2 linked regions of the Tamandua tetradactyla genome follow. The protein of the gene in region 2 interacts with the protein of the main gene of each other region in a biochemical or structural test. Links are inferred from orthologs where the notes say so. Each region holds a gene or a part of one and is shown on either strand. Other genes may lie near its edges. The genes, in order: PFN1 and WASL.

Region 1 (15,433 bases), on a different chromosome or scaffold from region 2:
GAAGGAGTGGGGAAGTCTAGATGGCATGTTGGCACAATTGGGGGGAGAGGGGTGTTTGGTGGGTCCATTATCTCATATCTTCTTCCTTTTTCCTTCTCCCAAGATGGAGAAAGAGGTGTCAGATTTCATTCAAGACAGTGGGCAGATCAAGAAAAAGTTTCAGCCGATGAGCAAAATAGAGAGGAGCATACTGTGAGTGTCTCTGGGCTGGGGAAGGCAGGTTGCTAGGGTGGTATGAAAGAGCCAGCTGGGGAATCCTTAGAAAAGGCCATTAGATCTCCTTCTGGTTGAATGGACTCTTTCCCATCTGCCTTCCCTTCCCAGACATGATGTGGTGGAAGTGGCTGGCCTGACATCTTTCTCCTTCGGGGAGGACGATGAATGTCGCTATGTCATGATCTTCAAAAAGGTGAAAGACTTGAGTTCTCACTCTCCCTTCTCCCCTTTTCAGCCTGAACCCCTTTGATGGAGAGGAATGAGATGAAACATTTATATGGGTCCCTGACCCTATCTTTCCCTCATCCCCAGGAGTTTGCACCATCAGATGAAGAGCTGGACTCCTACCGTCGTGGAGAGGAATGGGACCCCCAGAAGGCTGAGGAAAAACGGAAGCTAAGGGTGAGCTATGCCCTGCAGTCCCTGAGCCATGCAGCCCACCATTTGCAATGTTGGTCCAGGCCACTGAGCACCAAAACGCCACCTCTGCTCCCTAGGAGCTGGCCCAGCAGCAGGAGGAGGAGGAAGCCCAGCAGGGACCCGTGGTGGTGAGCCCTGCCAGCGACTACAAGGATAAGTACAGCCACCTCATCGGCAAGGGGGCAGCCAAGGATGCAGCCCACATGCTACAGGCCAACAAGACCTATGGCTGTGGTAAGGCCACAGTGGGAGCTGGAGGAGGGCTGGGAGCAGGAACATAGGATATAGTGGGGAGGGAAGGAGAGGCCCAGGCCTCCTAGGTCCTCTCAAGCCTCCCATTTGTCCCCAGTGCCCGTGGCCAACAAGAGGGACACACGCTCCATTGAAGAGGCCATGAACGAGATCCGGGCCAAGAAGCGTCTGCGGCAGAGCGGGGAAGAGATGCCACCTACCTCCTAGGCACCCAAGCTCCCTCTGGCCCCTGGGGCAGGGCAGGAAGCAGGGAGGGACAAGGCTGCTGCTATTAGAACCCATCCTGAAGCCCACTTCTGAACCATCTCCCACTAGCTGTCACTCATGCTGGGGGAAGCAGGTTCTTGATTTGTCACTGTTGGAGCTTGGATATGTATGTGATGTGTATGTGCATGTATGAAAGAGAGTGTGAATGTACAAGCGGGTATTTAATCTGTATTCTTCCCTATTCTTCTTGGCATTTTCTTCCCCATAGGCCTGGGGTTACTTCACATTCAATAAACACTGTTTGACCCGATGCATTGATTGGTTTGTGCAGAGAAAGTTGGGTCCTATAAGCACTGGCAGAGAGGAAGGGGAATCATTTTAGGTCAAACAATATGAAATTGCTGTGTAGGTACAGATGACCAAATATTGGCACTGCAAAGGGAAGTATAAGATAAAAAATTTTAAGAGCACAAATACTGGAGCCCAGAGGCCTGGTTTTGAATCCTGGCTTGACCACTTACTATTTCTTTTACCCCAGGGGAGGTGAATTATTTAACCCTTTTGTGTCTCGGCTTCTTCACCCTTAAATGGGGATAATAAAAGTGGATAATAAAAGCGCCTATATGATAGATCTGCTTAAAGATTACACTGTTTACATGGGCCATAAACATCAAGCAGATAGAACAGTTCCATGTCCTCCTAGGCTCCGCCACAAAAGGTGGTGGTTGTTCTCATTAGTCCTTTCCTCCTCATACAGCTCACTCAAGCTGTGATCTTTACTCCTCTACCCTGCATTCAATGGACATTTACTTCAACTGATAGGAAGACCTGATCTAGACTTGCCTACCTCCTGAGGGGGTCCTCATCTCTGCTCTGCCTCTCCTGGAGCTGGCTTCTTGTTCTGTCAGTACCTCTTCAGCTTCATTACACATATGGCACCTGCTTCTGCCGACCTCTCGTTATGTGAACCTCTCTGTTCTAGATCAAGCACAGCTTCCTCTCTGAGTCCCTCACTTCCTCCTTGTTCTAGTAGGTTACATGTCTGTTCTCTACCTGCCCTTCCTGCCCCCACCTCTCTACCTCCTGTCTTATCCAGCCTATAGACCAGAATCTCTTCCTCCCACAGAGGAGGACACCACTGTCTTGATTGGCACAAGTGTTTATTTCAGGGGGAAGAGCTTGAAGGCCCGGGTCTGTCCAGTGGGGGTCTGGGACCTCCGGCTTCTTATTTGGCCTTTGGGTTACGGAACTTGCGTCCAGCAAAGACAGCTTTGTCCCCGAGAGCCTCTTCAATCCTAGAAGGCAAATTCAGGGCTGCTGGCTCCTAACCCAACAGCCTCAGCTCCCCAGTTCCCAGGCCCACCGCACCCACAGTACCTCATGAGCTGGTTGTATTTGGCCAGACGTTCTGAGCGGCAGGGGGCACCAGTCTTAATCTGAGGAGTAGAGAGGAATTCAGAGGATTGGGTGAAGTTGGAGAGGGTTGGGCTGGGCCCAAGGGAGCAGCCTGTAGTGACATTTAACTCAGAGGTGGGAGGCCAGGGTCCCCAGAAAACCTGGTCAGACATTCAGCAGAGGAGAGCTATAAGTACCTGCCCTGTGCAGAGCCCCACCACGAGATCAGCGATGAATGTGTCCTCAGTCTCCCCAGAGCGGTGGCTCACCATCACCCCCCAGCCATTAGACTGAGCCAGTTTGCAGCTGGAGAGAAAGGGAACTTGATAAGCCTGATGGGACTTCCTCTGTGGGAAGCCAGAGGCTGGGGGCCCCCTTTCCCTTCTAATCTCTTCTGGGTACTGCTGCCCCACAGGGAAGTGGTCACTTTGCAGGGAGGGCAGTGACTATAGTTCTTTGGGAAGTAGGAGGGAAGGGGGAAATTCCTGTCTTGAATCTGAGCTCCTGAGATTCTGGTGGTAAGAATGGCAGAATCTGAGAGGAATGGCACTGAGGATGGGGAAGGGGAACATGGCAGGGTCACAATGGCAAAGTTCCCAGGTCAGACAAAGGGTGTAGTCAAAACCCTGTGGTCTGGAGGGTATGGATAGTCAGGTCGTGGAGGAAAGGTAGGAACAGAGAGAGGCTTTGATGGGCCCCGGGCCAGGAGGGACTCACGCCTGGATGGATTCAGTCACTGAGCCAATCTGGTTGACCTTCAACAACAGACAGTTGCAGGCCTTTTTCTCAACGGCCTGGGCAATTCTCTTGGGGTTGGTGACTGTGAGGTCATCCCCCACGATCTGAATGCCAACCCCCGCAAGGAATGAGGTCCAGGTAGCCCAGTCATCCTGGTCAAAGGGGTCTTCAATGGAGACCACTGTGGGAGTTGAATGCAGAGTCAGGGGTTAGAGGTCAGAAGGGGCCTCGTGGAGGAGTGATGGGGCAGAGTTTGGACATGCACTGTGATGGGGCTAAGGGTTGCAAGGAACTGAGTAGGTGGTAATGGAGACCACTGAAATCACTGTGTTAGTTGCCAGAGACTCTAGAAGGTACAGTGGAATGCATGGGAGTCTCACCAGGATAGTTCTTGATGAAACTCTTGTACAGCTCCCCCAGCTTATCTCCAGTGATGTGGCGTGCGGGGTCATCAGGAGATTTGAAGTCAAGATCATACTTCCCGTTGCGATAGAACTCAGAAGCTGCTACATCCATACCAATCACCACCTTGTCAGGGTAACCAGCTGCCTGGATGGCCGTCTTCAGCAGCTCTAGGGCTGGGGGAGGAAAAAGACAGGCCTCAGGCTCTAACCCTTCTCTGTGGGGGACCTATAGGTTCTGCCCCACAGAGTGTTCAGCACTGACCCTCATTGTTCTCCAGGATGTTGGGTGCAAAGCCGCCCTCATCGCCCACATTGGTGGCATCCTTCCCATATTTGGCCTTGATGACTCCTTTGAGGTGATGGTAGACCTCCGCACCAATGCGCATGGCTTCCTTGAAGGAGCTGGCGCCCACAGGCAGAATCATGAACTCCTGCATGGCCAGCTTGTTTCCAGCATGGGAGCCCCCATTGATCACATTGAAAGCCTAGGAAGGGGAGAGGGGGCTCAGACTTGGGCTGGAGGACCCCAGATGAGAGGGATCAAGAAGGAATGGGGTCTAGGTGGAATCCTGGCTTCTTTACTTACTAGGAGTCATTTTACTCATCAGAGGGTATGTCTCCATTTCTCTAAAATGGGGATAATACCTACTTCCCACAGGGACTTTTGCTGAAAATTAAGAAAAATTGGCCATAAAGCACTTTGCAGGTGCTTGGTATATGATAATAATGAAGACAACAGTAATAGCCAGCACTTACATGCCATGGCTATGTGCAGGTACTTTACATATGTTGTATTAGCTCACTTCACTCTCAAAACCCTGTTAACTAGGTACTATCATTCCCCAGTTTACAGATAAGGAAACTGAAGCATGGAAACGTTAAATAACTTGCCCAGGATAACAGAGCTAGTAAACAGACAGAGCCAGGATATGAACCTAGCAGTTAGTCTCCAGAATGGGTGGCTTTATACAACTGTTACTGCCTAACAAGTAACAATAAATGGTAACATTATTAAGATTAAATTCAAAAGGCTTCTATAAAGAGATGGAATTTGGTTTATTAGGGACCTAAGATATAAAGAAAGGCCAAGATCCTTGCCATGAAGCAGCTCTCAGTCTGATGTGGGGGGTGAGGCGCAGGGCTGGAGGTTGGAGCTCTTGAGCCTAGGGTTGGAATGTGAAGGAACTGGGTTAAGTTGCAAGGGAAGGAAGCATAGGGAGTCTTAAGGGTAGGTTTGGGCGGGGGAGGGGGAGCTGGACCACAGTATAAGAGGTTCGATTTCAGGAAACAGCTTCTCTGGAGCTGGGTCTGGAGGGCGGATTTTCCAGGGGCTGGCCCTGTGGGATCTGGCAGAGGTACAGCTGCACTTACTGGCACTGGGAGTACCAGGTCTGGGTTTCCGGCAAGATCTGCAATGTGTCGGTAGAGTGGGACCCCCTTCTCCGCTGCTCCTGCTTTACACACAGCCAAGGACACACCCAGGATGGCATTGGCTCCGAACTTGGCTGGAAAGGGCAAGAGGAGGTATGAGAGCTTCTCCCTCGGAGTTTGGGGTCATTTCTTAAACACCCTTTTTGGTGACTCTAGAATAATCCTGGCCCCAAATCACCGGCATTAAGTGCCTGTTAACAGATCTCTCCCATCGGCCTGAGGAGCTCTGGGAGACCCCACCCAGGGGAATGTAATATGCGGGCTTCAGGTCTGTGTCCACAGCCTGGGCCAGGCCTGGCAGAAGGCAGGCATCAGGAAATGCCTGTGGAGTGAATACAATAAATCCATCCAGCTATGGTGTGCCCCAAAATATGGGACACAAAACTAACCCTTACCAGGCCTCTGCCCCTGTGCTTTCTCTCCCATCCCTTCCCCCATCCCTAGCCCTTCACTCACACTTATTCTCGGTCCCATCCAGCTCAATCATAAATTTGTCAACTTTTTCTTGATCTACAACGCTTAGTTTCTGGAAGGGCAGATGTGAGGAGGAGAGAGTAGAAGTCAGATTTCTCTGGAGACAAAGCATGGAGGAGTGAAGAGTATTTGGGGGAGAGGGGGTAACTGGCACCTCTCAAGAACGGGCTGCCTTGGGTGAGCACAGCAGGAGTGTGGGGAGGAGGGTAGGGTGAGCAGGCTTCTGCACTTGCCTTTTCCAGCAGAGCAGGGCCTAGAGTCTTGTTGATATGTTCCACAGCCTTCAGGACCCCTGGAGAGGCCGGGAGAGGGGGTTCGTTCAGAATGGTTCTGCTCTCCCCAACAGTCTCAACGAGTAGGCCCCAGCTCAAGACCTTCAGGTTCCAGTCTTCTAACCCCTCTGTGCCCACCTGAAACCACCCACATGGGCTCCTCCTGCCCTGGCCTTTCCTTACCTTTCCCCAAGTAACGTGATTTGTCTCCATCTCTTAGTTCCAGGGCTTCATAGATACCTGTAGAAGCTCCGCTGGGCACAGCTGCTCGGAATCGGCCTGGGGTGCAAGGAATTGGAAAGTCACAGAGAGTCCCATCCAGGCACAAAGGACTGAGGTATTCCTCCTAAGCCCAGGGATAAGAGGATAGTGCAGAGAGAGACTTCTGCTTCTCCCAACTCAGGAGCCAGGTTGGAAGAGGAGTCAGAGAAAGGTCTGGGGAAGAGGACCCCAGAGGAAAGAAGGGATGTGGCACAGACCTAGGGGACAAAGGACAAATGGGTTTGGGGTCTTCTGAGGCAAACCAGTTAAACGGGCCTACATTACCCTTGGCCGTGTGCAGGTCCACCTCCACCGTGGGGTTGCCCCTGGAGTCCAGGATTTCCCGGGCAAAGATTTTCTGCATGGCCATGGCTGCAGAATAAGAGCTGAGTGTGGACAGCTGATCCCTTAAGGAACCAGAAATCCCTTGCCCTTTAAGAGTCTTCCCCACCCCAAGGAGGCAGGTGATGTAGCTAAAAATACCCCACAAAAGGTCACAGACCAAAGAGGCAGGCACAGCACCCCCTCCCCTCCACTCAGACTCTCTCCTATTCCAACCCTTCCATCCCAAGAATCCAGGGGCCTCTCCTTTATAACTCCTCATACTCCCATCCCCGAACTCCCATTTTCCCCAAACTGCCCGTATGCTTTCTCCTTCTAACTTCTGGTCAAACAATCTCCATGGCCTCTCCTTGCCCTCAAATCCTCTCTGGCTATTCTGGTTCTCATTTTTCTGCTCCCCAGTCGTCTCCAAATCCTCGGGGGAACCTTGATTCCTCATTTGACTTTAATTCTAACCACACTTCTGGATCCATCCCTGCCTGCCTCTCCTCACAGCCTCCCTTTCCCTGTATCCTTGGGTGCTCTCATTGTTTGCCCCATCCAATTTCTCCGGTCTGTATCAAGCAACCCCAGACCCAGGAGGAAAAAAAAGCTGAAATTCTGTCCATTTTCTCCAACTCAGCACCACCTTTACCCTTTACCATTTCCACCCCCTGGGGCTCACAGCTTCACCAGACCTGGGATGTCTTTGCTGGGGGTCACGGATGAGTTCCGAGTCTAGGTGGCAGCTGGGACAGTGTCAGCTCACCCCCTCTCAGGCTGGGCATTTATCCCCGAGCTGGTCGTCGGGCCAGCTCCGCCTCTCTCCATCCTCCCCCCTCCACACCTGGCTGGCAGCCAAGGACCCACTGCAGTCTGAAGCATGAAGTCTTTGGCCCTGGCCCCATCTCCCCCACCTTCCCACTTTCTCTCAGTTCTGAATAAAAAATCTCTCCTTTTAATTCTACTTCTTGGGAAGTTTAGGAGAGGGGCTTAAGGTCAGGGGTCTCTCTCTTTCCCAGGATTATATTCCCTTTTGCAAAGGTTAAAGAGGAACTAGTGCCCTTTAGGAAAGGCCAGGGGTAACCTGAGCCCTGCAGGGCTGGGGAGGGGGCCTGGAAGAGGGGCTGCAGGATTGACACCCACACATGCTCAGCTCACTTGGCAGGCGCCAGGCTGCCTCTGCCTTCAGTCGGGGGAGGGACAGTGGTTCTGGGCAAGCTCTGAGGTCTAACAGTGACTCCTCCCCCCACCTAGAAGGCGACCGGGTCTTACCCCTCAGGGTCTTCATACCGGTTACTCTCGGTTCTACCCTATCCTACCGTATCCCAGCGGCCAGGCGGGGGTGGGGGTGGGGTGCGGGTGGGGTCAGGGAAGAAAGCGGGGAGACGAATTTAGACGGGCTCTCAGAGCTGGCGCCACGCCCTGCGATAGAGCTGGCTCAGAACTTCTCTCTCTGCTTGGAGCCTGTCGGTCTGAAACCCCTTTCCTAACCGACTGCTTCGGGACGCGCGGCCCCAGTCCATCAATTGGATAGTTCTGAATCAAAAGTAAAACAAAACACAACAAACTGAATGAACCAGAGGAGGGGGGTGGCCCTTTGTGAGCGTCTGAACGCCGAAGGCCAGGCGGGTGGTCAGCCTGTAACTTTACTGAAAAGTGGGTGTCGGCACTTGGGAACTCTTCGCCTTGGAGGGTCTGGGGAGTGTGGGGTCTATGCCGAGTTCCGTCCGCAGCCCGGCCGGGAGAGGGAGGGCCGGCGGCGGTCACCGAGCACCTCGACTCCTCTTCCCGGGTTCGGAGGTTCTCCCGGCCGGAGGCGGGGCGGCCAGCGCCGGGTGACTCACTCCGGCAGCCCTCTCCCTAGCTTCTTCCCAAGCCCCCCACTCCCACCGCCCCATCAATGATCCTTCCCCCGCCCCTCCCCCTCATCTCCCGCAGCTCCCAAAGGGGAATTTTTCCACCCTGGAGCCGGGTGTGGGCAGGTCAGAGGTCAGGAGATGGCTGGCGGGCAGCGCCGCCACGTGCCCGCGTGCAGCCCCGCCCGAGCCGGCCGGTGACTCAGCCACCGCGGCTGTCGAGGAATACAGGCTCGGGGGCGATGGGGGTCTTTGGGGTTTGGGGTGGGACTCAGAAGAAGCTGCGTCCAACTCCGGAGAACGAGATGGAAACAGAGCCCCTTCCCGCCCAGGAGGCGCAGCAGGAGCCGGGCGTCCCTCCCCGGAGGGACCGGAAGCGGCCAAGCCCCATCGGCGGCGAGGTGGGTCGAATGGGGCCAGCTCGCCAAAACGGGCAACCAGGACCAGGCCCCCCGCCCGCTCTCCAGTTGGCGACGGGCCAAGTAATCGCGGACGAGTTCTTAGCATAAGTTTTATTGAAGAAATAAAAATAGAAGAAAAAGCCCAAACGGGCCTTAAGTAGAAGAAACAATCTCCTTCTTGAAAAAGTTGCTAATCTCCGGCATCTTTGTATTCTTCCGCCTTGAAAAGTAGTCCCGCCTATTTCGCCCTGCACTTAATGACCTCTAGCCGCGACGGGCCAAGGAGCATGACCGGTCACCCAAACTGTTGGCCGGGGAAGAGGGAGGACTGGGAAATGGGGTGAGGTGCTTGACTGGAGCTGATCCAGCGAAGAGATAATGCCCTGAAGGGGGCGGGTTCCAGGGAGCAGAACCTGTGCCACACGGGCAGATGCAGGAAACAGAAGTGGCCCCACTGGGTGACTTCAGCCCTGAGAGCGGCGGGAGCATTTTGTCTAACTCCCCTTCGCTCCCTTATTTCTTGAATAAATAAAATCAAGGGTGTCAAGGCGGCAACGCGCGCGCCCGCGCCCTCGCTCCCGCCCCCTCCACCAGGCGGACTCTAGTTTCCAGCCCGCCTTCCTTCGCCAGAAAGTCCCTAATGTGTCCGGCCAGCGCGTCCCAGCGCGCGCCCGCCAATCCTGCCGCCGGTCCCAACTGCTCCACGCGCCTTCCCTCCCCGCCCCGGCGCAGGCGCGAGCGCACGCGCCGCCGTTCGCCGTCTCTTCCCTCGGGCGGAGGTGGGGGAAGGGGTAGACTTTCCATTTAACCCAGGTTTCCCCAACCCTCTTTAGTTTGCAGCCTGCTCTTTCTTCCGCCTTTCTCTTCCTTACTTTCATCACTCCCTTGCCCCTATACCGAAGTCTGGTTTATATTCAATGCGAAGTGGAGTCCAAACCCTAACCTCTGCCCCGCCCCCGACTCCCAATCCTTTTACAGTGCTTTCTATCGAACTCTGCAAATTTTGCAATAGGGGGAGGGATTTTTTAAATTGCATTTGCAAAGTTCGGTCTCTGGACAGAGGGGGGAGGGAGGGGATGGGGAGCAGGCCCCGCCCCTGCCGCCCTTTGCAAATAAAAATCTAGGGGTGGGGGGAGGAGCAGGAAGTGGCGGTACGAGGGCTGCTGCACAGCCAGAAGAGCCGCGGTCCGGACGGCAGCGCGTGCCCCAAGCTCTCCGCCTTCCCTCGCCCGCCAGCCCGAGTCCAGTCCGCGGTTTCAGCAGCAGCACCGAGCGCAACCCCAACAGCAGCACCATGGCCGGGTGGAACGCCTACATCGACAACCTCATGGCGGACGGGACCTGTCAGGACGCTGCCATCGTGGGCTATAAGGACTCGCCCTCCGTTTGGGCCGCCGTCCCCGGGAAAACCTTCGTCAACATCACGGTACTGCGAGGCCTGCGCGGTGTGGGGAACTGACCGGGCTTGGACTCTGAGGGAGGGACTTGGAGGAGGCAGGCGCGGTCTGGGGAGGGCAGCTAAAGGCGGTGACCGGGTCTTTGCCCTGAAAGCCATGCGAGTGGTGACTGCATGTGAGCGGATCCCTCCGTCCGGCCTAAGTCCTATGCCCCAGGCGACGGCACCTAGCCCGCCCGCCCGGCTCTCGGCGACGGGGCGTTACATCCGGGGCACTGGGCGGGGAGGGGCGCGCCGCCCGGTGCGGCGGCCCACTTCCGCCTCTAGGGCGGGGCGGGTACGCGCTGCACTTTAACCAAGGATTCTGATTGAGAAGGGTCTTCAGGGCCCGTGCTCCACTTGCCGCTGCTAGCACGAGCCCCACTCCACCATTGTTCCCCCTGTGCAGGAATGAGCTCCAGGCGCATGGCCTGGGTCCCATACTCGCCCTCCTAGGAGCCCTGCCCCTCCCTACTCCGTTAACGAGGGCGAGGCTGCCTCACGCCCCCCTAATTCGGCACGTTGGTGCCGACATTTCCCGTGAGGCCAATCCCGGAAGACCTCTCGCCCTCCCCACCACCCTCGGGGTCTTGGAACGGGGGAACTTGGTGAGAAAGTTCTGCGATAGTGTAACTGAAGGAGTACGAGTTGGCTACTACTGTCCCCATCACCTCCCCTGTCCTCAGTGCCCGGAAGTGGGGAGGGGGAGCGGAAGTTCGAAAGGGGGGGAAGGGGATTTCCGGGCGGGAGGGAACCGGATGTAGGGGTTTGGGGTGTAAGGGGGAGGGGAGAGAGGTTCCCTGGGGTATCTAGAAGCAAGAACTGGCTTGTTGGGTTTAGCTCCGGGCGCTCTTCAAAAGTTTCCTAACTTTGCCAGGGAGCCCCCAGGGGTCTGCTTCCTCATCTCGGGGCATAGATGCCTAGGCCTAAACTCTAGATTACTTGGAGACCCAGGCGTCCGGGCCCCTAATAACTCCTGTAGAACCTTTGACCAAATAAGGGCAAAGTTACTTCTCCTGTCTTGCCCGCCCCCTCCCTTCCCCTCTCCGCTTCTGCTTTTCCTGAGGGAGATTTCTGTGCATCCAAAGGGTCCCCACTCCATTCCACTTCATTCTTGTCACTGACTTTTGGCCCCTTTTGCTTTCTGGGTTTGCTTTCTCTATTAAACGTCAAATTCTAAGTCTTCAGAGAAATATATCACTCCTTTCTCCATTCTCGAGTTTGGGGGATAGTAATCTTTTGTGCACTAACTTCCCGCAGTCCTAAGAGTTTCTCATATTTTATGGATGTGTACAAGGCACATTTATCCCTGGGGCGTTTAGCTCCCTGAGAAGTAGAAGGCGGATGGGTCCTTGAAGAGCAGGGTGGGGACCTTGGTACACTGCCTCCCTTAAATGAGTCCTCGATTCCGCTTCCAGCCAGCTGAGGTTGGTGTCCTGGTTGGCAAAGACCGGTCAAGTTTTTTCGTGAATGGGCTGACACTTGGGGGCCAGAAGTGTTCCGTGATCCGGGACTCACTGCTGCAGGACGGAGAATTCACCATGGATCTTCGTACCAAGAGCACGGGTGGAGCTCCTACCTTCAACCTCACTGTCACCATGACCGCCAAGAGTAAGTTTTCTTATCCCTCCTATCTGCAAGATCCCTAATGTACCTCCTCCCATTACTTTCTCTTTTGAGTTCTTTTTTGTGTGTGGTTTGTCACTGCAAAAGTAGTCAGACCATGTTCAACTCCCATTTCTGCTCCCATAGGCTGGGACATTGGATAGTCCCTCCAGTTTTGTCTCAGTTCCTCATCTTGTAATACAAAGAACTTGAAGTGCATTAATTTTTAAGTTCCTTTCTGCCTCGAACCTTTTCTAATTAGAAACTCAGATTTCTTGGGGTAGATTGCTGGGGTCGTAAAGCAGTGTTTAGCTCTCAAATTCTGAGCCCTAATGCTAAAACTTGGAGGTATCAAGCTCCTCATCCATAGCCATTTTCAGTCTGAATATGAGTTAACGGCCCAGGGGCCTTTGACCTGTAAATTTTAGTCTGCTTTTCTCCAGCCTCTAAGCTTTGATTTTCCCCTTTTGAAAAGCCCTATTGTTTCAGGGTGACTGACAGCCTGCCTGCGCCTCTGTGTCTGTGTTGGGGGGAGGTTGGGAGGGATGAGGTTGGGTTACAGCCCCCAGGGCTGGACAGCTGCTGAACAGCTGGCGGGGGGGTAGAATTGACACCTGGGGTCCTAGCCTCCTTTCTTTTTCCTCCAGCGCTAGTCCTGCTGATGGGCAAAGAAGGTGTCCACGGTGGTATGATCAACAAGAAATGTTATGAAATGGCCTCCCACCTGCGGCGTTCCCAGTACTGACCTCGTCCATCCCTTCCCCCCACCTTTCCCCACTGCTTTTGCACCCCTCTCCTTCCCATGCACACACACGTACATCATTTTTATTTTGGGGGTCAATACCCCATATCCCTTATTGCTGCCAAAACCACATGGGGCGGGGGCGGGGGCTGGATGTACAGATACCTCCTCCTACCCATACCCCTCCTGTGTGTGGTTGGAAAAGTTTTGTTTTTTGGGTTTTTTGTTTTGATTTTTTTTTTTTTCTGAATAAAAAAAGATTCTAACAAGGTGCTGTGTGGTTTGAGCCTGGGTGTCAGGTGGGGCACTGTGACTTGCTACCTTTATAGCCTTCTTTGGTGACTGGGAGGAATGAGGATGGGGACATCAAAGTCCAGAAGCTGCTTGCTTCCAGACTAGGCTTTCCTGGCCAGGGAGCTGGCCCCTCCAGAATTGCAGTTCCAGCCCTAAGTTCTAGGAGTGTTGAACTGATGTGGTAATGGAATAGAATCATCCTGACCAGAGAAAATGGGTCCAGGCCTGAGGGTAAGGCAGGGCCAACTGAGTCATCTCCATGTGTGGGTGGGGTAGGGCACCCCCCCACCTCTGACTCACAGTAACATTAGCCTGCTGGGACTGTCCCCATGACTACAAGTTAGTCTCCCAGCACCCCTCTGCCAATTATTAAAAATAAATTACTTATGGCAAAGAAAAAAGGGTAATTTCCCTCAAAAGAAGTTTACTTGTGTGAGACTATCTTGCCTTAATTCAGAAAAAAAATTTATTAACCCAAGAAGTGAAGACCCAGGCCCTTTACCTCCTCCAACCCCCTCAGTGATGAGGTTGGGGGAGAAAATGAGCTGGAATATCCCCTACTCCCAACACAGAACACTGGAGGGAAAAGTGAGGGGCTGTGCAAATAGGTCAGCAGAGGTCAGGGAAAGGGAGGTACTAAACCAAGATGGCAGCTGAGGGGGAAGGGGAGGGTGGGGGGTCTGTTGAGGGCCCAGGAAAAACAAGGGGAGCCGGAGCTAGGGAACCAAAGGAGGAGGGAACAGTCGGGCTGGAGCCCAGGAGTGGGGTCCTTTCTGAGGCAGGGTGGTCCCTTGGCTCCTCATCACCCTCTGGCCCCTGAGCTGCTTCCTCCTGTTCTTCATCCCCAGGCCCCCGATGAACAGGCTGCTTGCAGATGGGGCAGGTCTTCCGCGTCTGAGTAAGCCAGGGGTCCACACAGCGGCTGTGGTAGGCTACGGAGAGAATGAGGTGAAGCACCAGCTTGCTGCTGGTGGACACACTGGCACAGGTGGTGAGGGCCTCACCGTGAGCACAGGGAAGTACCCTCAGCTTGTCCCCATCCTCATACTCATCCAGCAGATGCACAGACATCATACTGGTCTCCTGAGGAGAAGAGAGGGTCATGCCCTTCATTGAGCCATCCTGAACCAGGAACCACAAGAACTCTGGGACGCCTGTAATGGAGCTAAGCCCTGCAAAAATGATTTTCCCTTGTTCCACAGAGCCTGTGGAAAAGATGGGGCAGTGTAACACCAGGGCAGAACAAAACATGGGGAAGAATGGGGTTAGAGGCTACAAGCAAAAAGCAGCAGAGGTAAAGGAAGTGGCTTTTTTGGGGGGGGGGGGTGGAAGAGGGTGGAGAGATAGGGAGTAGGAGAGCAGAAAGAGGGCAGGCTTCTGCTATAACCTTGTATGGGCACTGGAGGCTCCAAAGCCTGAAGACCCAGCCCCCTCCTTACCTGTTTCTTCCTTTTCTGACTGAATCCTCCCCATTTCTTCCCCCTACTCTTCACCTCCCTCATAAGCAAGGTCTGCCTCTCCATCTTATCCCCTAACTATTTCACGTCGTCATCTTTGCTTTCCATCTACTGTTCAGCTCTGCTCTCTATCTCCTCCCTCATTCTCATTGTGTCTGTGGGTAAAAAGAGAAGAAAAGATGGCATCTTGGGACTCACTGGCAGTCAGTCTCTACCATCTTTCTTTACCCTTATGTCCTAAACTCAGACTCCCTCAGAACCAAGTAAACTGTGGGAAACGTTCTCTTACCCCCTTCCCCACCTCACCCTTCTGATAGTCATGTGTAGGGATCTGTTTCAGCTGCTCTTTTGTCAGTCGATTCCGCTGGAGCCGTTTCCGGTGCTGGATACAACGAACTATCTGGAGGAAGGATGGATCAGGCTTAAGATATGAAACCAGACAACCTTGTACAAACCATCCCCACCTTCCAATGCCTGCTGGGGCTGTTCCCATGATTACAGGGCCAGATCCAGTCTGGCCTTAGAGACCCCAGCACTTCCCCTCAGACTCCCTGAACTACTCACCATTACTGCTCCCATGGCCAAAACCAGCAATCCCACAATCCCTGTGAAAGGGATCAGGTAATAGCCCAAGGGGAAGCCATTGTCTGGGACCAGCAGCACATGAGCCCTGAGGAAAAGAAGACTAGTATTTGGAGGAACAGGAAAGCCACAGAGGGATAAGGAAGAGGGATAAAGTGAATTGGTCCAGGACAAGGCCCAGGGATAGGGAAGGGGTGAGAAGAAAGTCAAGAAGCAGGGTAGGGAAATCCTGAGGCTGAATGGTTGGGGCAGCAAGATATGGGCTCAAAGTGGGTATGGAAGTTCTAAAGGATGTACACATCCTACCCCTTCTCGTAGATGAAGAGGGCACGCAAATACTCAGAGCTCCTCTCCCCAATAAACACAGACGGGATCCAGATCTGCTGCTGGATTTCCTCTGCAGGGATCAGGACGTTATGCTGGAGACTCAACCTTCCACTTCTCAAAGCCCTTAGGAACCCTGGTATTTGGCCTTTTTGCCCCATCCACCCTAAGGATCAGCTTCTCTCCCCTAGGCCTTCAGTTTCCACCCCTCAGCCTGAGCTGTACAGAAAATTCAGACCTCCCAGCCTTACCACTATTCCACACCATGTTCAGAAGTTCATTAGAATTCACATTGTGTACCACAGCTGCAGCATACCCAGCCTTCTGAGCATTTAGGACCTAA
Region 2 (14,722 bases):
ATTACTGCATTATTCTTTGAATCCTCACTAAGCCCACTTTACAAATCTAAGACTAAGATCGATTAAGAAGCTTGCCTTTAGTCTTCGTTTGTTTGTTTTTTTGGCATGGGCAGACACCAGGGATCGAACCCAGTTCTCCAGCATGGCAGGCGAGAACCCTGCCTGCTGAGCCACCATGGCCCGCCCTTGCCTTTAGCTTTAAGCTAAGAATAACCAGACAAAGGATGTATACCCAGACCCACTGTACTCTTGTAAATCTTCTCCTGTGCTTAGTTGACCCTATATGACACTTTTCTGCACTTAACCTTTTTCATCTATCCTAGACTATAGGCTCCTTAAAGACAGGTTGCCTTCTCATATTTGTGTATTTCAAATCCGGTGAATTTTAACCTTTTTTCCCTCCACACTACTCAATGTGAAATACATTTTCACAACTTTTTATAATACAATAGTGATCCCACTATGGATCTCACTCCAAAATCATTTTAAGAATCACCGCCCAAAGGATCTGATTTAGAACAGGAACAAAATTGTTATTGCTACCACTTCTGTCTGTATTAGTTCAGCAGCAGCATTAAGCCAGTTTGTTCTAATAAATGAAAACTATGGTTCAGAGACCATCTATATAAAAAAAGAAGGTTTGACAAACTGATCAAGCAATGAGTAGTTCTAAATGAGTGCTTAAGGAACAAACAAGTTAACAGTTATAATTATTCAAGCAAAAGTACTCAGTGATTTGTATGTTAGATTTTATAAAAATTACAGAAAACTACTTAGGTGTAAGGTTAAAGAAGATTAAATTCCAGTTATATATAGGGTGAGAAAATAAACAAAACTAAAGAATACACGCAAGTTGAAACAAGTGCTGAGGAATTAAAGGCAGTAAAGATTAAAGATGGTTAATATAAACGAGCTCCTTATATATCACTAAATCTTGAAACAAACCAGGTTGAGTATGACAGGAAAAGCTAATGGTCAACAACATTAATCTGTTTGGATTAACCTCAATCCACTTGGATCAGAAATAGCTGTAGATGGGCTAGTTTAAAATTTTCCCACTCCGTAATTCCTCACTTACTCAGGGCTATATACATTAAATCCCATTTGTCAAGTTACACCTTGTAGAAAGTAAGTTAAATCACACTTTATGAGAGACACAACAGAACTCACTACAAAACAAGACCAGGTAATCTTGTTTCTAACCTTCCTTAATTGTTCTTCGCTTTTATAAGAAAATATGGCAGGTAATGAACTGCATCAGAACTATTTATGCAAATGCATATTACATATATTTATATATTACATGTATCTTTAAATGAACTCCCATCTTCCACAAAATCTATTTTTAAAAACTGTGGCAAAACAATAGATTTACTGATGATTCATCTCTTTCATGAAGTCTTATTCATGCACCTATCCAGAGTCCCAATAACATCTAGGCATATTTTCAACTTTCCGCTGGTGGTTGGTTATAAGAGCTGCTTTACCTCAATTCCTCAATCCAAATGAGATTTAGTCCTTCTAACTGTCCTTAAATTCCTATCAGTAATGCTTTACTTCAAACCCATCATTTCTCATGGGGACTACTGCAAGCACCTATCTGATCTCTTTTGTCTCCAATTTCACAATCTTCAATCTACCTTCTATACTGCCTCCACCTTTCCCTCCAACTTTCTAAAAGACCAGTCTTATAATGTGGTCCCCCACTAATCAGTGCAGTACTTCTTCAATTGCACTGCCCTCTTACAGATATGAGATATGCATTGATAATTTAAGGGGTCAGAGAAATGCTGCACTAAAATAAACTGTTTTAACTTAATTCAACACACAAAATACTGACCAAGATTCCACTCTGTTGCCAGGATTACCCTTTCAAGAAAGAGTGGCTTGGGCAGGTCACCGTGGCTCAGCAGGCAGAATGCTCGCCTGCCATGCCAGAGGACCTGGGTTCAATTCCTGATGCCTGCTCATGTAAAAAAAAAAAAAAAAATTAAAAAAAGAAACAGTGGCCTTCCACAGCAGTTCTCAAATTTTAATATACAACAGAATCATCTGCTGAGCTTGATAAAAAACTAATTCCCAAGTTCCATTTCAGATCCAGTGAATTTGACTATTATTTAGGAATGAGGCCCAGTCTTATGTATTTCTACTAACTTTTACAATAATTCCAATGCACACCTAAATTTGAAAACTCAAGCAGAACTCCCCCCCCACATTCCATAACAAGTTATTAATAGGTTCCCTAATCTTCTAAACTATCATATACCTCTCTTGTCAACCCAGGGAGTGCCTACTAATTGTAAAGATTCAGGTATCACTCACTCCAAAGCACGCTTCCTCATCTTCTCTTCCACCACCCTCTCCTTTGATCCCCTAAACCAAAACTACCTCAACCTTTATAAAAACAATAGTTTCCATTTATTTAACATTAGTCCTTCTTCCACACAGTCAGACACCCTATGAAATAGCATCCTTACTTTACAAATGTGAAAATCTAATCCAGGACAGGAAGGTTAAGAAACTTCCCCAAAGTGACCCAATGAGTTTTAATCCAGGTCTGCTGTCTACATAGCCAAACCATTTTTCATTGTAACAAGCTGCCTCTGACACATCATTATAAAGAACTGACTTACTCACTAGTTTACACGTGTATCTCTTTTTAGATACAGTAAGCTCCCTGAGGACAGGCGTCAACTCTGATTTTGACCTCAATATCTGGTTACACAATACTTGAATACATTTTTGTTGAATGAATGAAAGAAGGAATGAAGATCCTCAAAAGCTGGAACTATAACTACTTCTGTTTCTTTTCTTAAATAACTATCTAGAGCTCTACTTCTTGCCTAACAAATTTGGCCTAACCTGTAAATCTTAAAGCTGTATATAATGAGATGATATAGGTTAATATTGTTTTAAACTAATAAATACTGCATAAACCACAGAGAAAAAATAGATTATTCCAAAAAATTAAAATATCCTTTTTACTCTCTATTAACTGGGAACTTCAAATATTAACGATAAGCTTTGCAACAATTTCATCCCACAAAAGCAGGAAACTGTAAGTGTGGTTTTAAATGAGAAAAATTCAAAAAGTAAAGTGTCTTTGTTAATAATAGATGACAAATAAATTGAGCATTCCGCAATCTTAATTCAGCAGCTTATTCCACAGTCCACTTAAACTAACCAGTGAGCAATGACATCTGCACAGCATACTTCCACATATGTCATTTTTTGAAACCAGTAAACACTACTGGAAAGCACAGAGCAAGTAGTCAGTATACTTGTGTATAAATGTATTGGCCTTCCTGCTTAAAGTTGATGTGTCTGTATATAAACATAGTACAAATACTTCCTTTTTGATATACATTACAAAGTAATAATAAACCAGCAAAATTGAAATGATTTTTTTCATTTGCAGGGTATGTAAAGATTCAAAGTCCTAGAGATTTTATTAGGGCTCCTATGAACCTTACACTTTAACCACATTAATTTTTTTTGCATGGGCAGGCACCGGGAACCACATTAATATTTGATGGAAAAAAAATGAAGTGATTATTCCCTTAACACCACTTTTAGAAAAAAATCAGTAACAACTAAGAACATACCTTCTAAAACCAACATGATGTAGTGGAAAATACAACAGATGAAGAATCAGGAGTCCTGGTTTTTTAGTTCTATTACATTTCTAAATTGCTGTGTGACTTACAGCTCACTGGATCAGTTTTCTCATTTGTTTAAAAAGTGTGGGGGACGGAAGGACTTGATTATCTTTACAGTTGTATCCCAAAAATCCGTGTTCATGTCTACCTCGTTTCATTCTTCTGATAGGTAAACTTAAAATATGTTCTTTAAGATTAACCTCTCAAACGTGAAAACATCTGAAATTGAATGTAATGATTCAATCTATAATTGCATGGCACAGGATACAAAGAGTTGTCCCCTGTGAAGTTAACCATTAATCCGTTAAGTTTCAGAAACTGTCTGATACTAACTTCTTAAACAAACAGGTGTAATCTGGTTTGACATATTTAACATTACTAAGGAAGGTTATAAAATTGTATATCCTTGTTGAAAGTGCCTTCGGTATCTGCAGAGTATCTGCATACTCTGCAGATACTCACAAGCAAGGAAGGGAAACGCCATTCAGCGTTTCAACAAACTTAATCACAGTTCAACCTTGCCACCACTGTTCAGATGCAGCCTACTCCAAGGCCTACACCACGGAGCACAACCTCCCCACCCCAAGAACTGCCAGCAGCCAAAGTAATGAATGCTTCCGTCAACAACACACATTCCCTTCCCCACAGTAGAACTGCTTGCTCCGAACCCATCTGGGGTCGAAATCATCCGCACACCCGGAACCTAAGAATCATTCTCAGGCCCCAAAGGCCAGCCACTACTGAGACTGCTGTTACCCCGCGCAAGGCTGAGGAAGAAAATTACTCTCTTCCACCAAGACAAAAAAAAAATCAGCAGGGAAGAAGGGAGAAAGTAGCCTGCATGAGATTACTGGGGAAATAAATCCTGTTTCTCTGCAATTGGGAGCAGCAGCATTTCCTGCCTTCGTTCTGAACCGAAGAAAGCCCAGGAACCTAGAATTCGTTCCCTTCTGAGAGCCTACAGGGAGATTAAAAAACCATCTTCTGGTCTGCTTCATTCATATATGGGCTTAATTTCCCGACCTGTCTGTCCACTCTTCAGACCACTGCCATTGTGAAGTAGGACACCCTCAGATCAAGGAGGAGGTGGAGGGAAGGCCAGAGAAGGAGCTGGTAATCAGGGGTCATGAGGCTCGCGCAACAAAATCCCCTTGTGGCCTGAAAATAAAGTTTGAACCAGCAGCAAGGGTGCGGATAGGGGCCCGTCCCGGTAGGACTCCAGGGCAGGCCTGCGGAGGTGATACAGCCCTGTGACCCGACAGCTTAGAGAAGCCGCGTCCGGCCACCCCGGCGTCCAAAGCCCACGCCAGGGAGCGAGACCGGGGCCGGCGGGAGGCCCGGCCAGCAGCTGGATCCTCCCCGCGCCTCTCCCGCCTCCTTCCCCACTCCCATTTTCCCCTTCTTGGCCCTCAAGTCCGGGCCCAGGAGATAAAGTCGGGGGTGGCGACGCAGGTCTCAGCCACTGACCACACATTTCTTGCCGAGGAAGGTGAAGAGGGACTCGTTCTCCTGCGGGGTGAGCAACAGGGACCCCACGTTGGTGACCCTTCGCGGCGGCGGCGGCTGCTGGCCAGAGCTCATGGTTTCGCCGGCGGGGCTGGTCCAAGGCCGTCTCCTCCAGCAAGTGGGCGACCGCTCGTTCCCCTTCTCGGTGACAGAGACGGGAGGAGGGGAATCAGAGGCGCAGCATCTCGCAGCTCCTCCGGCGCCGGGAGAAGGAGGCCAAGGGAAGGAGGAGCTGTCGGCGAGCAGCCTCCAAGCCGCGCTGAGAAAGGGAAGCTCCTAGATCCTGTCCGCCCAAGCTCAGGCCGGAGGCTCCTTGTATTCTCAGTCCTGCTCCTGCGCTAAACTCTCAACTCCTCCTCCAACCCTCCCTCGGCGGCAGCGGCGGCGGCAGTAGCAGCCGCACAATCCAACATGGCAGCGGGGATGGGCGAGACCACAGCGCGCAGAAGGCGGGGGTGCACCGGAAACGCACGGTTGAGTGGAACCCCCCCTTAGCCGCAGCGGATTTCGCCGCGCCGGCCAAAGGTCCCGCCTTCTTCCGGTCGAGAGGCTGCGCGTTCTGGCCAAGGGCTGTGTTCTTGGCGTCGGTTCCGGCTGCCCGCCGCTTCAGTCCTTTGCTTGATGAGGCCTAGCGTCTGCTACCTAAAGAAAAAATGAAAGCTAGTGTCCGCGGCCGAGTCGCCCGGCCTCCTTCACGCTGGCGAACACCTTTACGTGGACGTCCGTGAGGACCCAGGTTCCATTTCCCTTAAGGCTCTTCTGAAGCTCGGAAACAGGAAGCTCACACTGCTTGTCAAAAAGGTCTGGAATCTGGACACGGAACATTGGGGAGAAGAGACACCCTCCTTGGTACTCCTCGTTGGTTTGGGTTACAGCTTCAGGTGCTTGGGGTTTTTAAAACTTTGTCCAAACTTCGACGGTGCGAATGAAGGAACAAACAGGTCTCTCCCACTATAGTGAAAGAGATCCAGAGATGGCTGTTAAAACAACAGACGCACTCAGGAAAGATTTCCATGGCCGGCCTGTCGTGTCCTGTGGGTTAAATGTATACATACCACTTAAATATAAAGTTTTTCTTAGGGCCCTGAATACATTTTTTTCCCTATCACATAAATTGGAGAACTTTTTTTTAACCCCTCAATATTTTTCTCAAACACCTTTTGATTCAAAATGAATATATTAAGAAAGTAAACAACTGAATCCATTTTGGGATGTGACACAGGAAAATACGATACCTGGTTTAATCCTTAGAAGTAAATCTCTAATTGTTTTTTTAGGGTGTATGCCTCATAATATTGAAGGTTACCTAAGATAACCCCGTTTGGTCAGTGAATTAAATGCTCAACAACTAGTTTGTAAAAAGAAATTTTGAGGACGATAAAGAATACCAACTGTATTCATTTGACTTCTTCACATTAAACAAATAAGCGTTATTGCAGAAACTTTACCATCATGCTCACTGACTAAATTTTTTTTTACAAAAATTCGTATATCAGACCAATCAAACATCCATCCTGTGACAATTAAAATTTGGTAAAAGTTTTTGCTTCTAAAATCTAATACATTCCAATACAAATCTCTGTTACACTACACATGTTGATGAGCAATTTTCTATGCACTTTGAAAATTAAAACTGCCTTTAATGAAATTGGGTAGACAAGAAAACGTCTGCAAAGGAAAATGAAAGCATACAGTTTTCGAGTCCTCACCTAAAATATGGATATTTCAAAGTTAAACTTGTTTGATAATGTTCTGGGGAAAAATAAATTTTACAAAAAGCAAGAGGACTACTTATAAAGTAATTAGCTTTAGAGAAGCAGTAGTAGAATGTGAACCTGGAGTTGCTTCTTAATTAAAGATTTAAAAATAAACCTAGAAGGGAAACCAGTTTGTCTCCTTTCCTTTAAGTTCAAAGCACAGTGACAGACAGTAGAAAGCATTACAAATACTTGAGAAATAATAGAAATTAGAGTACTACTGTTTTCAAACCTGTGAACTAGAATAGTAACAAAAGTACTTGCATCAGTTCTAAATTATTTAGATTCCTTGCCACTTAGAACCTTTAAACAAGTTACTTCTTATCTTTCCTCAATTTCCAGTTTATAAAGATGCAATATAGTAGAGATAATTACACCTACTTCAAAACCATAAAATTTACCAAGATGGCGTCTATAAAGTACCTGATACATAGTGGTTACTCAAATATTAGTTGCTCCTTATTGACAGTCCTTGCCCATGCTATTGTCTGCTCTGTTTTTCTTTCTCTTAGATAAGAGATGAGAGTTGAGTTGTCTGTGTTCAACGTTAGCCAGATTTTTGAAAACTGTTCTTCAAATTTAGAGTTCTACCTACTTCACCAAAAATCTGGTGGTTAATTTGGGGCATAAATTCTTTATTAGCATAGTTTTTTATTTGACTATGTACTATGCAAATATATATATGAAATCCTAGTATAACAAAAAATTTTTAACTCCAAATTTAGAGACAGAATCACATTAATTTCTAACTGATAAAAACTGAATGATAGAAATGTTTTTGCTAGAAATACCAGCTTTTAGGACTTGTAGAGGACCAAATTATTTTGAAGGCAGGAGAGATGTTGGAGATGGTTGTGAAAAATAGAAGCTACAGGAGAATAGGTGAATGGACAGTAGGTATGAGATGAAGAAACTATCCCATGCTGAGAACTATTGGATTCCAATAATTTCACAACCTCTTGTTAGCCTAAACTATTATTTTAATCGTTTTTTTCTTTCAGGAAATTTTAAATGTCTTCTAAGTACAATTTTAAGACTATTTATGCTAGTTCTGTTTTCTTTAGTGATGAGAATTAAAAATAATTACCACTATAGACTTTTCTCAAGCCCAAAACTGTGGTGATCCGAAGCTGTATGTATTCAGAAAAACGTCTTCTTAAATTTAATCCATTCCTGTCGTTGTGAACCCATTGTGAGTAGAACCTTTTGATGAGGTTTTTTCAGTTAAGTGTGGCCTACCTCAATCAGAATGAGTCTTAATCCTATTGCTAGAGTCCTTTATAAGGGGGATGAAACTTGGACAGAGAGAAAGCCACAGGAGTAAGAAGCTGAAATCAAGGACACTCAAAAGAGAATAGAGAGGCTGCCATGTGCATTGCCATATGACAAACTAAAGAGCAAGAATTGCCAACAACCGGCTCAGAACACCACAGTCTTCAGGGAAAAAAGCATCACCTTGATGATGTCTTGATTTGGACTTTCTTTTATCTTCAAAACCGTAAGCTAATAAATTCGCATTGTTTTACCCGCCCCATTTCATGGTATTTGCTTGAGCAGCCCAGGAAACGAAAATACAATTCGCTCCTTTAATTTTTCCTCAAAGTTTTAAATACAGTACTTTACCCATAAAATTGCAATTTCAATTCTTATTTTCAACCCTCTTCTTGTAAGTTTGCCTTTCTCTGCACTTATTCCCACTACTTGATCCTGTTCTTAAAATGTGAAAAATGTAAGCATGAACATTGCATTGGAAATATGACTTCCTTACTCTCTAGGGCATGTGAGCCAGCCATATGTTTTTCTCCCTTTTACCATGCATAAAGAATTCTGTTTTTTCCCTCATTCATCCTGAGACCAAGCAGTACTGGCTGTATTTGTTTCAGAAGTTTTAACAAGTCCTTCCTTTCCTTCATTCTTGATAGCATGTCCTCTGTTTGGCAGAGCACAAGACATCTTTCTCTGTTTTCTTTGTGAAGTTATTTTCTTATCTCAGATCCTTTTTATCCAGTTTGAAAGATTGGATTTGATTCAGGAAATAAGAATGATTTTATTTCCCTTTAACTGAATAATCTTTAAGTTTGTAAGCTAAGAAGTTTGTAAAGAGACTGCAGGGATTTTTTCTTTATATACATATAAAATATATGTGCACTATTAAAATGTCGGTGAATAGAAGAATAAGGCAATTCTTAAGTTTTAATTTCTTCCATTTGACATTTCCTCGACTAACTAGAATCTATTCCAGTACTTTTATTTTCTTCTTTCTGTCTTGCTATGATCTTTTAAGGTAAAGCCTTCATTTTAACAGAAAACATTAGAGTAGCTTATGTCTGGAAATGAGGGCATATTTTAGACTCATTTCCTGCTGTTATCATACCTTACAATTTTCTCTTGTCCTGGGCCCTTGTTATCCTTTTTTTCTCTAAAAATGTCATTGTTTATGTACTGTTACAAGTTCTCTGAAACTCTGTTCTCCTTGCTAATGTTATTAATTTAAAATATAGTGACAGCCTTCAGTGTGGAGAAATGTAGAGGTGGCTTCACACAGGGATCTGTGGCATTCAGCAGCCATTGTAGCCATAATTGCTGGTACTGATGTGCTGCTTAGCTATGGTGGAACTAGATTATAGAGACAGTAGAGCAGCAAACCTGTTCACTGTAGTGTTGATGAATGTTACTTCTCCCGTGCAAACTTCAGGTGTCATAGGTTTAAAATGCTCATGTAAAATATCTACCCATTTTTATGTAAATGTTGCATACAGCAGTGTTTAAGAGGATTTGTCCTAATATATGTTCTTCCAAGTTAAATGTTGAATACTTTCTTTTTCTCAACTAAAATCTTGGGAAATAAGCTATCCAACTATCCATTATGTTCTCCCTCTCCCTTTTAAACTCATTTTGAGTACAATCCCCTTTGGATCTTACATTTTTAGGAATAGGTAACTTGCAACCTATTCTGATATATTATTTATGCCAGTAGAAAATTGAATTCTTAATCCTGCTAGGGAATTACCAGTGTTTTAGTTTGCTAAAGCTGCCAAAATACAATATACCAGAAAGGGATGGCTTTTAACAATGAGGATTTATTAGTTAACAAGCTTACAGTTCTGAGTTCATGAAAATGTCCAAATCAAGGCATTGAGAGGTGCGGCTTTCTCCCTAAAGACCAGCTACTGGTGATCCTGGGTTCCTCTATCGGGTAGCAATGTCTGCTGGTCTCTCCCTTCTCTTCTGAGCTTCGTTGCTTTCAGCTTCTTTCTTCAGTGGCTAGCCTCTCTGTTTCTCTGGTTTTCTCTCTCATTATGTCTTTCCCTCTGAATTTCATCCTCTTATAAAGGATTCCATTAGGAGGATTAAGACCCACCTGGAGCGTATCTCAACTGAAATAACCTGATGTAAAGGTCCCACCCACAAGGAATAGATTAGCTTTAAGAACATGTTTCTGGGGTCCATAAAGCTTCGAACCATCACAACCACTGCTAGCTACCATCACTATATGGCCTAGTCTCCATATGCCTAAAACATTATCTTTATTAAAAAAAAACAATTTGAAGCTGAGTATCCTGTGGTTCCCAGGATGCTGCTTACTGGTATTCTAGCTGTCACTCTTTAATGAGTAGTTATTGCCTCTCTGTTTATACCAGATGAGAGAAGAAAAAAAGTGGTTTCTTTACTATTATATGCTCAAGGTCAATTTACATTATAGATGAGTAGGCAGTTTATATACTTGAGGTGATTTTAAGATGCCACATTTCTCCATTGACTTGCTGAAAGTATTATAGTGAAGGTATGGCCTCCTTTATCATAAAAAATTTTAAATCAAATTTTTCTTTTTATTAAAATGATACCTATACCTGATTTAAGAAATCAAATAGTATCACAAAGCTGGTAACACGAACAACAACATTAACAACAAAAACCAGAAGCTCCAGACTTGCTTCTTCTGTACTCTCATCTGCTCTCCCCAGAGACGTCTACTTTGAACTGTTTGAACATAGATATTTCTAAATAATATGCTAAGCTGCTATTTATTGACTTATCAATTTAAAGCATTATCTATTAATTTCTTAATTTAAATGGTGAGGATTTGTCTTTCTTAAACTACCACTCCCCTGTTTCTCTTTCCCCAACAGTTACAATACAATTTGTGTTTAAATTATTATCACACAGAATACTGTGTATTATTCCTAATGAGTCAAGTAATGCACAATGCTTCTGTTGACATTCTTGTACTAGTGTATTTTTGTTGATTTTTACCCTCAATATTTTTATCAATTTTTTTTTGCATGGGTAAGCACTGGGAATAGAACCCAGGTCTCCGGCATGGCAAGCGAGAATTCTGCCACTGAGCCACCATCATACTGCCCTCCATTCCTTCTATAAAACCCTTCTCCATACTATTTTCCACATGTATGTGGAAATCTATTAGATGCACTCACAGAGCCTTCATCATCCTGTATTAATCTGGGCTATTGCCCTTTTGGCTGCATAACTACTGTCTGGAATTTTCTTTTGCTTCTATCCTGGGATTACTGTGTACCTCTTTTCTGTGTTGGATCCTTTGTTTCTTGAATCCTATATTACCTGTCATGGTTTATTCCCTTGTTTTGTGGTGTTTAATAATTGATAATCGTTAGATCAGCATGATTCTAATTCCCCATGGCTGGAATTAATACTATTAACCTTTTTTTCTTTTTTTTTCAGATGAAGAAAATCATTGAGTCAAATGAGTCAAATGATTTAGTCAGAATCAATGTTCATGTTAGGATAAGGAAAAATTATTCCTGGTTTGGGAGTCATTCAATTCAATAACTTAATTTAGAATCAGTGCCTTAGAGCCAAGGGGACCTGAGCCATTATGTAGTTCCACCTCCTCATTGATCTATGCCTAAAAATGGAAAATAAAAGGTGTGACGAATCATGAGTAATATTTGGGCTATTATGCAGCAACCAGCTATTGATTAAAAATGTTTAAAAATTTTGTTGAAAGGCGGCATAATATAACATAAAGACTGCAGATATTGCAGTCCACTCTGCAATGGTCCAATTACTCAAGTTCACTGAACCTTGATTTCTGTAAAATGGAGATAATACGTATCTCCGGGGGTTATGTAGAGAGTAAAATTGAAATAATGTATGTAACAACAGCCACTACAAAGCCTATAACTTAATAGTTGCTCAGTAAATGATAGCTATTACCACTAAATGGAACTAAAGCTCAAGGATCTCCTACATAAAAGATTTTCAAGAATGTTAGATCAAATTACTCAGCCATATTTATATGTATTACATTATAATGTTCTGATACACATAGGGAGAATGTGTCCTCTGTCACTATTTCCTGTTTTAATGCAGGTCAAAACAAAATCCCAATCTTCCTCAGGCTCTCCAAGCATTATTGTATTTTTTATATCATAAAGGACAATAAGCAACCACTGCTACCTCAGTCTGAGCTTCCTGGGGGAGTTCTTTTGCTCTCAGATCCATTCCACGTTAACAGTTTTGTAATCATTAGATAAATAGGTTGAAACAAGGCACTCAATTATGTCTATTGCCATAACCATCCAAAGAGGCCCACTAAGTCTCATTCTTACTGAAAAGCTGTGGAGGGAATAACAACATGCCTTTCGTTTTGAAGGAAATATTTTTAACTGCTTTTGAACACAAGACCCCCCCTCCCCCCAAAATTTCCCTGAGGTATTTGATGATATTTAACTTCTCTGGCATTCATTTATTTGACCATTGCACTTAGGATTCTTGCAGTTCCTACTCTTTGGGTCTATTCCACATTATGTTATTTTATACAGTGAACTAACATGCTATCAGTAGAAAAGGAAGATGATCTAAGAAAGCTGGCCTATCCTTGAGAAATGTGAGCCCTACAATATCCTTCAATAAATTCCCTTTTGACTTTGTTAGCCATGGTCAATTTCTGTTCTTTGCAACTGGGAACCCTAGGTAATTCTGAAATTTGTAGCATGAAATTGGTTGTCAGCCACAGATATTCAGAGAAGTTGAGTTATTTGGGATTCATTCTCTGGCTGTAATGAGGCAGAGGTAGTGAAACTCATTCATATTCTAAGACAAGAAACTGGTAGAGAAACAGAATTATATTATTGCTTCTGGTTAGTAAGATCTAGTACCTACTGAGTGCAAGATATTAGGGCAGGGATTGGCAAACTATAACCAGGACTCAATTGACCTGTTGCCTATTTTTATAAAGTTTAATTGGAACACAGCTATACTCCTTTCTGTATCATCATTGCTTCTGTGCCACCATAGTAGAGATGAGTAGTTGTGATAGAAACTGTATGCCCTAAAACCTCAAATACTTACTATGTGACCCTTTATAGAAAAATTTGCTGGCCCTTGCTCTAGGGAACAGCATAATTTTCTGCCATCAAATTATAAGGGTTGGAGGAATTCAAAGACTGTAGGATGGTATTAGATAAATTAACCAGTCAGAATGACCAACTCTAAGTTCCATTCCTACCTCAGCACAGCAGGACACTAGGAGACATTCTGTGACAATTCTAAAATAATCTATCTTTGGTTGTTGTAGGATTTAGATAGAGGGAGCCTATTTCATACTGGATTGCTAAGCAAATGATTTATTTATAGTATTTTATAATGAGGTAGGAAATGGTCATAAGGATCATTTATTACAAAGAAATTCACTAGTTATTGTCTTGTAAATTTTGAATCATTGTATTCTTTTTTAAGTTACCTTGTAAATTGAGTCAGATGTTACACCTTTTTTTTTTACACAAAATAAATATTCCAAATGTGTTGATCTTTCCTGTGACAGCGAATAGCTGTCAGAAGATATTTTTTAAGAAGGAAGAGAAGAGACACACATTTAATATGTCCCTTCAAGGTAAAGCTGATTTTTAACCATGAGTGAGAAAGTCACTGCTTATGAAAAGAAACATGTTATCCGAAGAATATTTTGAAATGACCATTTGGAAATGAATTCATCATTATGTGATTTTGAAGTCTAAAATGGCAGTATGATACCTGTAAAAATTTATATTTATAAACTTAAAAACTTTGAAACAGAATCTTCTGGTCTTTTAAGAAATTTACCAAATAAAGAGTTTCAATGAGTTTTATATTTGGGAAAAAATGTGGAAATGAAACACTTCTTAGTTTAAGAAATTTCCTATCAAAATTTTGACTAATTCATTGTTTTCCAACTCCGTATTATGGTCAGGTAAGCACAACTAATGCTTCTATTTGTATCTATATATTTTTTGTTAAGTGTCTTTCAACTTTACCTATTAAAATAAGTCACAGTATAAATGTCAAATTAGCCTATAACTAGACCTTTGGATAAATTTTCAAATTATGGAGTGTATTTAATTGCATAATGTGCATTAAAAGGTGTTTTCTTAATATTTTAGGAATAGCAAAACAATTTTTACCATTAATTCATTGCCCTTTGAAGAAACCATCTCTGAGTTCATTGATTTTATTTCTTTCCTGTTTTCTATTTCTTTGATTTTTGCTCATTAAGTATGATCTTAGATGCTGTTTATCAAATTGAGGAAGTTTTCTTTTATCTCCACTTTGCTGAGAGTTTTTCCTCATGAATGGATGAAAAAATTGTCAAATGTTCTTTCTGTACCCATTAAATATGATCAAATGGTTTCTACTTTTTAGTCTGATAATATGGTAAATTATACTCACTGATGATTTTGAATGTTGAAATAGCCTTGCATTTATGGGATAAGCCCTACTTGATCATGATTTTGCATCTATGGAATATTGGTCTAAAAGAATAGATTCCTTCTGCCGGTTAAA

What was found.
Region 1: the proteins of WASL (region 2) and PFN1 form a complex in vitro, tested with the Homo sapiens proteins (2 studies listed by BioGRID). The link is inferred for Tamandua tetradactyla from reciprocal best matches to the Homo sapiens genes WASL and PFN1.

Annotation. Positions count from the first base shown.
Region 1 is NC_135332.1:60,455,151-60,470,583, forward strand, and holds PFN1 (profilin-1), read left to right. Parts: upstream 1-9,774; 5' UTR 9,775-9,945; coding exon 9,946-10,077; intron 10,078-11,504; coding exon 11,505-11,697; intron 11,698-12,338; coding exon 12,339-12,436; 3' UTR 12,437-12,702; downstream 12,703-15,433. Other genes in the region: SPAG7 (sperm-associated antigen 7), read left to right, coding at 104-192, 325-409, 529-618, 714-870, 986-1,095; ENO3 (beta-enolase), read right to left, coding at 2,321-2,390, 2,473-2,531, 2,688-2,796, 3,208-3,409, 3,609-3,806, 3,895-4,117, 5,004-5,137, 5,520-5,589 and 3 more. UniProt on the Homo sapiens protein: Binds to actin and affects the structure of the cytoskeleton. At high concentrations, profilin prevents the polymerization of actin, whereas it enhances it at low concentrations. By binding to PIP2, it inhibits the formation of IP3 and DG.
Region 2 is NC_135327.1:164,610,430-164,625,151, forward strand, and holds the start of WASL (actin nucleation-promoting factor WASL), read right to left. Parts: upstream 5,613-14,722; 5' UTR 5,241-5,612; coding exon 5,127-5,240; exon of another isoform or gene 4,074-5,126; intron 1-4,073. UniProt on the Homo sapiens protein: Regulates actin polymerization by stimulating the actin-nucleating activity of the Arp2/3 complex. Involved in various processes, such as mitosis and cytokinesis, via its role in the regulation of actin polymerization.